3 linked regions of the Oryzias latipes genome follow. The protein of the gene in region 1 interacts with the protein of each later gene in a pairwise test. Links are inferred from orthologs where the notes say so. Each region holds a gene or a part of one and is shown on either strand. Other genes may lie near its edges.

Region 1 (4,127 bases):
TGTTCAATTTTATGATCAGATTTGTTTCTTATAAGAAAAAAACAAACATCATAAATATTCATAACTGCTTAAATCACAAAGAAACACAAGTAAACACTCAATTTATTTCATTGATGTGCACAATCTTTTAAAAAATTTATTTTAACCCTAATATTTCATATACTTGACATTTTTTGCAGCCTATTCCTTCATGAATTAGATACTAAACAGAACAAACTAAATACAATGTTAAATATACTTATTATAACTGGATTATAGAATGCAAAAATACATATAAAAAGCAATAACACAATAGGGGTGTGATTATGAAAATCCTGCTTCTCCCTCTTCCATTGAAGCAACAAATCAAACTCTAATTGACTAATTAATAATCATTATATTAAATGAATCTATTGTGATATGATTGTATTCCCACAAAAAAGTCTATTTATGGTTATAGTAAATGGCGTATACTTATACTTATACTTATATAGCTCTTTTCTACCTTCTTTGAAGCGCTTTACAGCCATAGTCCCATTCATCCAGTCACACACACATTCACACACTGATGGCGGCTCCGCTGTCAAACACTGGCGCCAACCTCCCACCAGAAGCAAGGTGGGGTTCAGTGTCTTGCCCAAGGACACTTCGACTCATGGGCGTGCAAGGCGGGAATCAAACCTGTAAGCTTACGATCATGGGTCAACCGCCCTACCGCTTCACCACTGCCACCCCAAGTAATGAGTAATTACACTGTCAAGAAGATGGCATAATCTTAAATCATTTATTTTTCCTTTTATTCTAATAAACACATTGCTTTATATCTGACATGGGTTTGATATATGTGTTTTGTTACTTTTTATTGTAGCAGTCAATTGTTTTTAATGCTTGAAATAAACTCACTGGTCACTTAATTAGACACACATCAAACTACTCATTAACCCAAATTTCTAATCAGCCAATCATATGGCAGCTACTGAATGTATTTAAGCATGTAGACATGTTCAAGATGATCTGCTGCAGTTCAAACTTAGCAACAGAATAGGGAAGAAAAGATGCAACTTTGAACGTGGCCTGGTTGTTGGTGCCAGACGGGCTGATCTAAGTATTTTAGACAGGGCTGATCTACTGGGATTTTCACCCACAACCATCTCTAGGGTTTACAGAGAATGGTCCGAACAAGTGAAAATATCCAGTGAACAGCAGCTCTGTGGGCGGAAATGCCTTGTTGATGCCTGAGGCCAGACTGGTTCCATCAAATGAAAAAGCAACATTAACTTAAATAACCACTCGTTACAACCGAGGTATGGAGAAGACCATCTCTGAACGCATAACACGTCCAGCCTTGAGGCAGATGGGCAACAGCAGCAGAAGACCACACCGGGTGTCACCCCTGTCGGCTAAGAAAAGGAAACTGAGGCTACAATTCACACAGGCTCACCAAAACGGAACAATAGGAGATTGGAAAAACGTTGCCTAATCTGATGAGTCTATTTCTGCTGCAACATTCGCTCGGGGGACATTTTCTAGGGGCCCCTTAGAATCAATTGATCATGGTTACACCACTACAGAATGCCTTGTTTCTTACAATGTCCATCCCTTTATGACCACAGTGCACCCATCTTCTGATGATGGCTACTTCCAGCAGGACAACGCGCCATGTCATAAAGCTGGAATCATCTCAGACTTGTCTCTTGAACATGACAATGAGTTCACCGAACTCACATGGCCCCCACAATCACCAGATCTCAACCAATCTGCTGCTACTGTGTAATGCTGTCATGTCAGTATGGACCAAATACTCTGAGGGATCTTTCCAGTAGCATTTTGAATTTATGCCACAAAGGATTAAGGCAGTTTCTGATGGCAAAACGGGGCCCGACCCAGTACTAGCAAGGTTTACTTAATAAAGTGTAAATTTAAATCAATCAAATCAAAATAAACAAGTTTTAACAGTCAAAGTAAATTCCCTATTGGGAGTTTTGACCCATGTCAATGTAATTGATAAATATAGTTTATAGGGTTTCAAAATAAATACCCTATAAACTATAAATAAAGTTTTAACTAGCTTATATGTATGGATACACAGGCACACACGATTCAAAAAAGAAACCCACATGGCAAAAATGCACAAGTGATTGGATAAATTCTACTATTTTCAGTCTTTGAGTAAGTATCATATGTAAAATAGCAAATTTCTAAAAAAAATAAAATCATTACAGAAGTTATTATTTTTCTCTAAATGCAATGTCTTGTAAATATATTGTGGATTTAAACTGGTCAGGTGCCGTAGCTACCCAAGCTACATCTAAAATGTCTGGTCAACACTTAAAAACGTCATCAGGCTAAACTTTTAAATTAATACAATTAACCACAACCTCATTTATTAGTCATGTGTTTTCGACATATGTTGTTTTTCTTTAACCAACATTCTTTGTAATCCAGGGGGGGGGGGGGGGGGGACGGACTGATACAAAACTTATATTGAGTATTTTAAGCTGTCAGGTGCATAAATGTCAAATGTATACAGATAAAACCCAGCCGAGATTATGATTATCATCAGTATTCACAACTGTTAGCATCCAACGCTAAGCGTTAGCTAAAACGTGTCTGCTGTGTTTGCTTAACTAGTCAACGTTTCAACCTTACCTCATTTTCAATCTCCGCTATTTTTGCAAGTATACTCATTTTGAGGACAGTTCCAGGACGCTGTTTACGAGAGGAAGATAAAATAAAAAGATTTTACACGAAAGTTGCAAAACTTAGCATCCACACCGCACAATGTAGAATGTGCCGTGTCTTGTGGAGACTCTCGCGAGACTGCAAACCTTTTTTCCCTCCCAAACTTTATTGACAAACAAAATAATACAATAACAATGTGAATGTCTCAGGGGGAATTGAAATGTATACATGTTGGAGAAAAATATAAGAAATAGAACAAAAAATATATAAATATATACACATACATATACAACATAGTACAAAAAGAATCATTAATTCAAATACCTTTGAGGTTTAATAAATTTTAAATTTTTCAAAAATCAAATTAGTTCGAATTGCTTTTTGGTTTTGCAGATGTTTGATACTGGTACAGTACTGATTTATTTCATTTAAAAACTGCTGTAATTTAGGTTTGGAGTTTGATCATTTGGCTTTATGAATATGGAATTTTGCCAATAGTAAAAACAATTGTGTGATGAAGATACAATCTTTGTCTACTTTGACATTAAAGTAACCCAGAGTAATGTCTTTATCCAAAAATGTAACAGTTTGTTTAGTTATATTTCCAATATAGTTCCCCACTTCAACCCAAAACATATTAGTATGTCTGCAGTCCACAAACAGATGATAAATAGTTTCCTCCTGAGTTCCACAGAATGAACAAGACAGGTCCATGTCAACAACAAATCTACTCAAAGTTTTTTTGGTAGGATATATACAATGCAATATTTTGAAGGACACCTCTTTTATTTTGTTATTTAGACAGTATTTATTACTAATAGTCCAAGCATAAGTCCATTTTATGTCCACAAATTTGGAGTCCCAATAGAATTTCCCAGCAGGTAAGGTTGTGGTCTGTAAAAGATTTCTTATTTGCTTATTGGAAACTGAATTAACACAAATATCCACATTGTCCAAAAAAATTGTCTGGGTTCTTAATTGACTTGTGTTATAAATCCCTTTAAACAGTTGAAGTAGACTGGTTGGAATGGCATCTAACACTATTGCATATTCTCTGGGTGGAACAGGAATACCGAATTTTAAAAGCAATTCTTCATACGTCAGAAGATATCCATGAGAATTGAAAAGTTGTCAGATTAAAACAATATCATTATCATACCATCTAGGGAAAAAAGTGATTTATTCTTGTATTGTATATTACTGTTATTCCAAATAAAACAAGATGTTGGAGAAAAATTGTGTTTATAAACGAGTTTCCAGGCCAGCAGGGCTTGTTTGTAAAAGTTTGAAAGTTTTGTGGGTAATTTTTCAATTTTATAATTACATTTTAGCAAGAATTTAATGCCTCCCATTGTGTCAAATATGTATTTGGGAAATGCGTTCCAGATATTGTCTTCCCCTTTCAATAAATTACTTAACCACCTTATTTTAAAAGAGTTGTTCAAAGGTTAATACTTCCAAGCCCC
Region 2 (4,028 bases), on another chromosome or scaffold:
AAAAAATCCTAAAAAAACGATAAAGGCAGTAAAGGGCAGGTGCTCATGCACCTATCTGTGCACGTTGCTGGCTCCTCCCACCCGCGTCAGGAGCACGAATACGCTTTTTGACAGTCATATTTGACGCGCTTCCAAACAGATGCAAATTTGACATGAGAAGTGCGCTCAGGGTGAAGGGACAGCTGCTCCTACCTTCTCCTGCCTCTTCCTCTTTTTCCAAGCCAGGAAAGACTCCAGTGTGATCCGGGTGACGTTTGGGCCCAGAGCCGCTCGCTGGGGGCAGGCGGACGGACAGACGTTAGTGATCGGTGGGGGGTCAGGTTGTTTCCACGCAGCCCGTCAGTTCGTACCTCATTCTCGATCAGCTCCTCCAGTGAGATCTCCTCCTCTTTCTCCTCCTTCTTCTTGTCTTTTTTCAGCACAAAGCCGGGCGGCAGGGCATGTCGGTACATACAGGTGTCACCGTTGGCGGGACACACCCAGAACCAGCCGTATTTGTTGTTCTCAATGGCATCCAGGAAGTACTTGCACACCTGAAACAACAAGGTCCTGTTCATTTGTGGTAGGAGCTTCACAGGTCTGAAGGATCAGCAAGCCCTCATGAGAACCACTGAAGCTGTGAAAACACAGCAGCACCTTCATGTTTTGGGCAGACTTACGATCTGAGTTTTTGCTTTCTTCTTCTCTGCCTCCCCGTGTTTTTTGTCGACCACCTCCTGCAGCTTCTTCTGGTCCCAGTTCTCCATGGTGTCTGAGCAGAACAGCAGCAACATCAGAGGTCTACTTTGGATCAAACATCGTAACCATCATCTGCTCTTAAGAACAGCAAACGTTCTCGGATCATCTGCATCTGTAACGCAGCACGAGACGTGAGCTGTGATCGGTGACCTTTAACCCCTGAGAGGTGCTGCACTGTCAAGGAAGTGTGCATCAAGCAAATGAAGATCGTCATCTCCAGCTTCAACTGTTTTTTCGGCCAAACATGTAAGAAACAGCCTGGAGCGAAACCTTTCTCCAGGTCTTCGTCCCGCTCGTCCACGTAGACGCTCCTCTTCTCACACTTCCTCTCCATGGACAGGTCGTGGCTGAATTTGCACTTGTCACCTTTGGTGCACTGGCCCTGCTTGAAGAACGCACACAGCACCGACTTTGGATCAACTCCTGCAACAGAGGGAAGTAGGGAGATATTCTTTAAGCGCCGTCTTCACACAACAGGAAGGTTGCACGCCTCCTCCACTCCGGCGCCCGATCACCTTTGCTAACTTTCTGCGCAGCGACGACGGGTTTAAAGAGCTCATTGAGTTCATCCAGCTCCTTCTTCTTGTCTGCCTTCTTGCCGCCCTTCTCATTCTCGACCTGCGCCATCAAAACAGGATGAGATTTCAGCAGGGAAGCATCAGAACATTGTCAGCGCACACAGCTATACCGCACACCGCACACATCCTTTCCTTCACTGCCCCCACTGCCAGGGGAAATGTGAGCAGAACCCGTATGTATCCATCCATCCATCCATCCATGTGTGAAACACTTCCCACTGAGACATGTTCACCCCCAGATGCTGTTTCACATGGAAACCTGCACAGGGGTCTGAAGCTGCACTGTGGGCAGCTTCTGAATTAAAACAGGATGGAGACGCTCGTCTTTTACTGTGTTACACTAATATTCAGACGGAAGCGAAATGCGTCTGTCAGAACCACAAATGTCCTCTAAAAAGAGGAGTCCTTGAAAGCAGCCTGCTGTTGCAGAAGCTAAAGACCCCCACACCCCCTGCAGCTGAGAGCTCCTCACCTGTCGGGCGCTCTGCTGTCCATACTTCACTTGCTGAGTGACGTTCTTGATGAACTTCTGCTGCTTGGCGCCCTTCTTGTTCTTCAGGCCGAACGTTTTGTCCTGAGGGGAGAAGCCTGTGTTAACATCAAGAACCTCCTCTGAACTGAGAGGTTGGAGAAACCGAAACCATCAGAGGAGCTGCGACAAGTTTGATCGCCACCCAAAAAGTCTCAGGTGAGTTGAACTGACAGGTGGAGATTTCAGACGTTTCCATTTTCAGAAATGATCATCAGATATGAGCTTTAAAACCCCTAAATATGGACATACTTTGAGGATTACAGAGCCATGGACAAACACAGACCACAGAACGACTACATGAAGCAAAGTGACAACAAGCCCTGCGGGTCAGGAGAACCGAACCTAAGCCGGGCCTCCGGGCGGCGGCCGCTCCTGACGGCGCTTCGGAGCTTTACAGCCAAACGATCGTTTATTCGACAGGACTCACTCTCTGTTCTGAAATCAGAACACACCTGAAACGGATCACAGCGTTTCTGTTAAGGCCAACCGCGGGCTCGTGTCGCCGGCGTCTCTCATTAGAAGCCGGACGTTGGTTCGGCCGCTCGGCCTGCAACACCCGTCCAACTGCCCCGTGACAGTCGGGCAGCTTCAGAACAGCCAAATAAGTCTTTAAAAAACACTAACTGAATGAACTAGAAACCCGTCAAATGTCACCTGAGCGGAATTACGTATTAATGTAAAGTAAAGCAACCGAGTTAGCATTTAGCTCATCAGCTAAGGCTAAGCTAACTGGTGTTTGGCGTTAGCTACCTCAATAATTTTCTCCTTCTTCTTCTCTTGGGTTTTTTTGGTCCCCGCGGCCTGTGTGGGTTTCTTCGGAGGCATGCTGGCTCAGCTGTGGACACGTGAAGATGACTATTTAGATTAGACTAGGGTGCTCTGGGTCGCGAAGCACCTGAAGCAGGTGTTGCTAGCACGTTCTAGGCCACGTGTGAGTTGTTGATGTCCTGTGGCGTCATTGCGTTACGACGAGGTGCATCATGGGTGATTGAGTTAAATTTAACTACAGGACAGAACGGCACATAGTGAGAAGATTCGAACCCTGGCTTTGTCATTTCTGTGTGGAGTTTGAGTGTTCTCCGCGTGCACGCGCGGGAATTCTGCGGGAACTTCAGCTTTAGTCCTAAAACATGCTTTTATGGCAGACAAATATACCGTCAATTTTTCAAAGTGAGAGTGCACGTGCGTGCATGTGTTGCCCTGTGACGGATTGTGCCCATTTCCTTCACTACTGACTACATAGTGCACTAATTAGTGTGTTTGCCATTTTGTAGTGCTATCCAAATCTACACTTCCAAAACTGAGTTCCCTATGCTGCACAGGGGGCTCTCACGCCTCACAGCCCTGCTTTCAATCCAGACTGGGACCTTTCTGTGAGGAAGAATTATTTATTTCAGCATACGTTTTGATTCGTACGGAGCCCTCCAAGGGCCAGTGGTTAAAAAAAAAAATCTGATAAATCTCGCCCACGGATTCATCAATTGTGCTCACACTGTTGCGCAATCGTGCGCATGTGCACATAGCATGCCCATGTCGCTGAGCAGAGCAGCTGGACTCAAGTCGTATCTTCGTACAGAGGAAGCTTCGGACCACAGTCTGTCACCTCGCCAGACGAACGGAGGCGGCTTTTGAATCAACAGTCCTGAGAAACCGTGCAAACAATCATGAGAATTTGTATTTCCAGTCGGGTCCAGAAAAAATAGCCTGATGTAATTCCAGTGTAAATTCTTTCATGGCTAAATGTTGTCAGCATATATTAACCTAATCCTAATCCTCCTTCTGGGTCAGTTCTGCCAACTATGAAGCACTGGCCGCACAGATTTAAAAAAACTATAAGCAAACATGCACTTAGTAATCACCATAACAATAATAAAAGCCTGTTTAGAAGATCACCTCGCTCTATGTCGGAGCTTTGTTATTTCCAACGGGACCTCCAAGTTCTTCTTCTATGGTCTGACATCATCATTAGTCACTGGCCACCGAACACCATCAGATTTTTTTTCCTTTTTAGCCAGTGGCATCTGCAGGGCTCAGTAGCTTTGGCATTTACCTGGTTCTTTATATACATGAACCTTGTGTGTTGTAATAAGGACTGCAAGTGGAACCAGCATTCATCACCATATAAGGACATGGAAGTGCTGAAAACAAACAAACAAAAGGCTGTCTGTGTTGAATTGCTT
Region 3 (3,984 bases), on another chromosome or scaffold:
TTGATATACTGTCAGTTTTTGGCCTTTTATGCGTTCAACGTGAATCAGCTGATTCTGATGCAAACAAACGCGGTTTCATATCGGTTTTGTACACTTTGCATAACGGGGCAAAGCTGCTTTTCTCAGCGTCAGAATCCACTGGCTTTATGTTAACTCCAAAATGGTTGAAGAGTTACGGCAGACAAAAGAACGTCAACACTGGGACTACAACTACAGCGTTAAAGGATTAAGTTATGACAGGAACGCTGTCAGAGCAAAAACTCCAAACTACTGCAGCAGGTAAACAACAGGATCTGCAGACATCAGTGCAACTAAAAACAGACCTCTTTTTCAAGCAGCAGCAGAAGTTCCTCAACATCTCTGTCCTCCAGGTTTTCCTGTGAATATATCTCAAACAATGGCGGCTCATCAGGGTACTTCTCTGTATAGGTGAACTTTAATGTTGCTTCCACAGCTGAAAAGTAGAGAAAACAATGTGGATGAAAGTGCTGTAGTGACAATCAGGTCAGTCCACAAAGGGTGATGAGGAGGCATACTCACTTTTGCCGTGTTCCCCTATGTCTGAGGTCACAGTGACAGTGAAGACAATGGGGTTCTCAGAGAGAACTGTAGACACAAATAATGCCAAGGTCACAAAGTCAGACTGAAGAAGGAAAAAGTGGAACATTGAATGAACTCAAAGTATAGTAACCACAGGTACTGTTTTGTGTTTTTGTGCTGAAAACAAGCAGGATGAGAAGCAGAAAAAGGTTTGTTGCTTTAAAACTGGGCATACATGCTTTGAAGGTCCTTTTCCCTTTCGCTCACATTGCAGGCAAATCCTCTGTATGACATCTGTGCAGTGACACCTACCAGTCTATCTCTGTGCAGTCTTAGCATTGACTTTATATGAGAACTGGACCGAGTAGCCCTTCCCCCCGGCGTTCCATAAAGGAAGTATCTGCTGGCTCAATTAAGCCAAAATCCCATAGACTTCTATAGAGAAAGAAGCAGCTTTTAATCAGTCATTCTATTGGTCAGAATAACCATTTTGTTCTGAAAACCTTTTTTTTAATATCCTCTTGATAATCCTCATTTTTTTTATTTTTGCAAATTATTCAAGTTCTAAACTGACCAATCAGATGCCTCAATAAAAGTAGGTGGTGCCCTCTGCCCCCCCCCAAAATATTTTACTGACAGATTCTCCTCAGGAGATAACTCTTGACTGGCGAAAGTGGCTGCCACAGAAACATCGACCAATCCCCATTGTCTGGCTTCAACATTGCGCCTGCATCTTAGAAAAATGGCAACTGAATTGGATTGATTCTGCTGGAGCAGGAGGGAAGGCATTTTTTTGGGGCACGTCACACTTGCTCAGTCCAATTCTTTATACAGTCGGTGAGTCTAACCCCCTGCGTTCACTGTCTTCACGTTTTGAGAGTGTTTTTGCCTTTCACTCTGCTTACTTTTGCTCTAGTGGTATTACCCAGGATGTTAAGAAATGTATTTCATTTATTTTCTTGCAGCATTTACATTTAGAACCATCAACATCAAACACACTGGAGTTATAATCTATGAGGTCATCCAATGGATTTTGCAGAATTGCTCCCTCCTGCAACCTGCCTCCACCAAGACTGGGTGTCCAGCTTTGGAGGAACGGCAATATTTGTCGAGCTGGTTTGTGTCAAACGAGAGGGGGAAGGGCGAGGCCTTGGTTTGAACCATTGACTGTATAAAGAACAGGACTGAGCTGGTGTGACGTCACTCATATAAAATGCCTCACCTCTGGCTCCAGCCAAAGGAAGCCCATTTACCAATTTTTTCAGGGATACAGACGTCACCATGTTGGAGCCGGACGAAGTGATCGGTCCGAGTTGATTCGAGACACCAATCAGGAATGAGCTTGTTGGAAGTCCACATCCCGTCCACTGAAAGCAGGCTATCTGTCAATCCAACATTGAGGTGGGGGCCAGCGGGCGTCTGATTGGTCAGTTTAGAACTTGAATAATTTGCGGTAAAGAAAGAAAATCAAGAAAAAAGAGGATTATCAAGATGTAAAATAAAAGGTATTAGAGCCAGAATGATTATTCTGACCAATAAAATGACTGAATAACAGCTGTTTACTTCTCTACAGAAGTCTATGGGGTTTGGGGTTCTTGGAGCCAGCAGGTACTTTCTGTTTGGACCACCAAGGGGGAGGGGCCATTCAGTCCAGGTATATATACAGTCAACCGTCCGACCCAGTCACCAAAACAAGGCCAGCATTAGTGCCGAAGCAGCTGCAGCAGTTTCCTGCAGGATAGATCCAATGTTAAATCTGACCCTGCAGTTTACACCTCAGAACCGCAGACCGGTCCGGGCCGGAACAGAAGCCCGTAGGTCAGATTCTTGACACCCTGCGGTGTGCACTCAGTGCTACAGATCTTTCAGAACCGCTAATTCTGGACTTCTGGGTTTAAATTCGCTTTAAGGAAATGTCTTGAGCCGTACGGAACCAAAAGCCCAGTTCGACCTCACGCGACCGGATCTCGGCTAAAGTTCGGGCCAGTTTGGTCGCATATTGTCTTCCACTCTGATTGGTTCCTGCTATCCGCAGCAGGGGCGGAAGTTCCTCTCGAACCTGTAAAGGAGTCCGGGTAGATGGACTCGATGGCCTCCAGCTCGTTCCGCTGCTCCTCAGCGTGGTCCGTCATGTCTGCGGGTTCATGCGGGACAACACCGCGCAGGCATGCGTGCAGTGAGACCGTGCGGGAACCGATCGATGCGCTCGGTGCTCATCCGGGCGCCTAGCATCGTCTTCCTCTCTCTTTGGACAGGTGACCAACAACTGTCAGGCGCGTTACCGCCATCTCCTGAGCGGGAGCGGGAAAACGCCGGAACTACCCTGAACCCAATCTCCCATAATGCTCTGGGAGATTGATAAATAATATATATAAAATAATATATATATATATATATATATATATATATATATATATATATATATATATATATATATATATATATATATATATATATATAATGCAAATGTCAGAGCCTTCAGTTGATTTTTATGATTAAAAACTAAGACTTTAGTAATAAAACCCAGTGGAACAATACAGGTTATTTTCCTGAAGTGATAAAAATTACATCAGTAAAAAAGGCAGTAGTATAACTGCTATAATAAAAAATGTATCCTTTTTCTAAAATCAATGCAACACTAACTTCCCTTGTTGACAGCTGTACTTCTTGCTCCTCCCGTCCCTGTCAAACTATAGCAATGTCCGACTCTCGATTAGTCGTCCTGACGGCACTGTGCCTCATCACGGCGTGGATGTCTGGATGCTCTGCTGTCCTTCGCCATGGAGTCTGCTCCCCTTCAAGTCCCTCATCTGAGCGCCACACATTTATTCTGACCTGATTAAGGACAGCCCAGTGTCATCATGTCATTGTTTCTCTGTTGAGTCCCAAGTCCCAAACAAATAATAAAGACTTGGTAACCACAACTTATGAACAGACGACAAAAAATACAAAAATACTCTAGTCAAAACAATGTCAACAAAAACACAATCAGTTGCACAGGTAAGCAGCCTACTTTCTTATATAATCTGTAATTTAAAAGTCTGACTTTGGACATAAAAACACTAAAACCCAGCCAAACCAAGTGGACGATCGTCAAATATAGCAGCTCCTTAGAAATGACTGCCCAACTTGATATATCGTGATGAAAATAATACAGAAAACGGTTCTGCCAATGCTCAGCCCAAACTAAAATGACTAAACCCATCATTCTAATATATAAAGGGAAACAAATCAGCACCATGGAATGAATCCACCCAAAAGTTCAAGTCCCATAAGTTGTCATTGTCACACAGATCAGTGTGTGATGCTGTACAGCAGTGTTCTTCAAACCCCGGGCCGCGGACCGGTACCGGTAAAATTAATAACAACTAATAGTTATTGTTATTAATTTTAATTTAAACACATTAACATTAAGTTAAATAATCTCTGAATACTAACTAGTCT

Evidence for each region. The genes of interacting proteins can lie anywhere in the genome.
Region 2: the proteins of drg1 (region 1) and zc3h15 interact in binary tests that used the Homo sapiens proteins (3 or more experiments, as listed by UniProt). The two-hybrid records come from large-scale screens. The link is inferred for Oryzias latipes from reciprocal best matches to the Homo sapiens genes DRG1 and ZC3H15.
Region 3: the proteins of drg1 (region 1) and rwdd1 interact in binary tests that used the Homo sapiens proteins (3 or more experiments, as listed by UniProt). The two-hybrid records come from large-scale screens. The link is inferred for Oryzias latipes from reciprocal best matches to the Homo sapiens genes DRG1 and RWDD1.

What each region holds. Positions count from the first base shown.
Region 1 is NC_019870.2:14,589,921-14,594,047, forward strand, and holds the start of drg1 (developmentally-regulated GTP-binding protein 1), read right to left. Parts: upstream 2,806-4,127; 5' UTR 2,668-2,805; coding exon 2,629-2,667; intron 1-2,628. UniProt on the Homo sapiens protein: Catalyzes the conversion of GTP to GDP through hydrolysis of the gamma-phosphate bond in GTP. Appears to have an intrinsic GTPase activity that is stimulated by ZC3H15/DFRP1 binding likely by increasing the affinity for the potassium ions.
Region 2 is NC_019873.2:1,266,120-1,270,147, reverse strand, and holds the start of zc3h15 (zinc finger CCCH domain-containing protein 15), read right to left. Parts: upstream 2,803-4,028; 5' UTR 2,674-2,802; coding exon 2,599-2,673; intron 1,891-2,598; coding exon 1,789-1,890; intron 1,357-1,788; coding exon 1,254-1,356; intron 1,162-1,253; coding exon 1,009-1,161; intron 752-1,008; coding exon 660-751; intron 534-659; coding exon 351-533; intron 274-350; coding exon 193-273; intron 1-192. UniProt on the Homo sapiens protein: Protects DRG1 from proteolytic degradation. Stimulates DRG1 GTPase activity likely by increasing the affinity for the potassium ions.
Region 3 is NC_019874.2:9,431,576-9,435,559, reverse strand, and holds the start of rwdd1 (RWD domain-containing protein 1), read right to left. Parts: upstream 2,803-3,984; 5' UTR 2,673-2,802; coding exon 2,600-2,672; intron 607-2,599; coding exon 541-606; intron 455-540; coding exon 324-454; intron 1-323. UniProt on the Homo sapiens protein: Protects DRG2 from proteolytic degradation.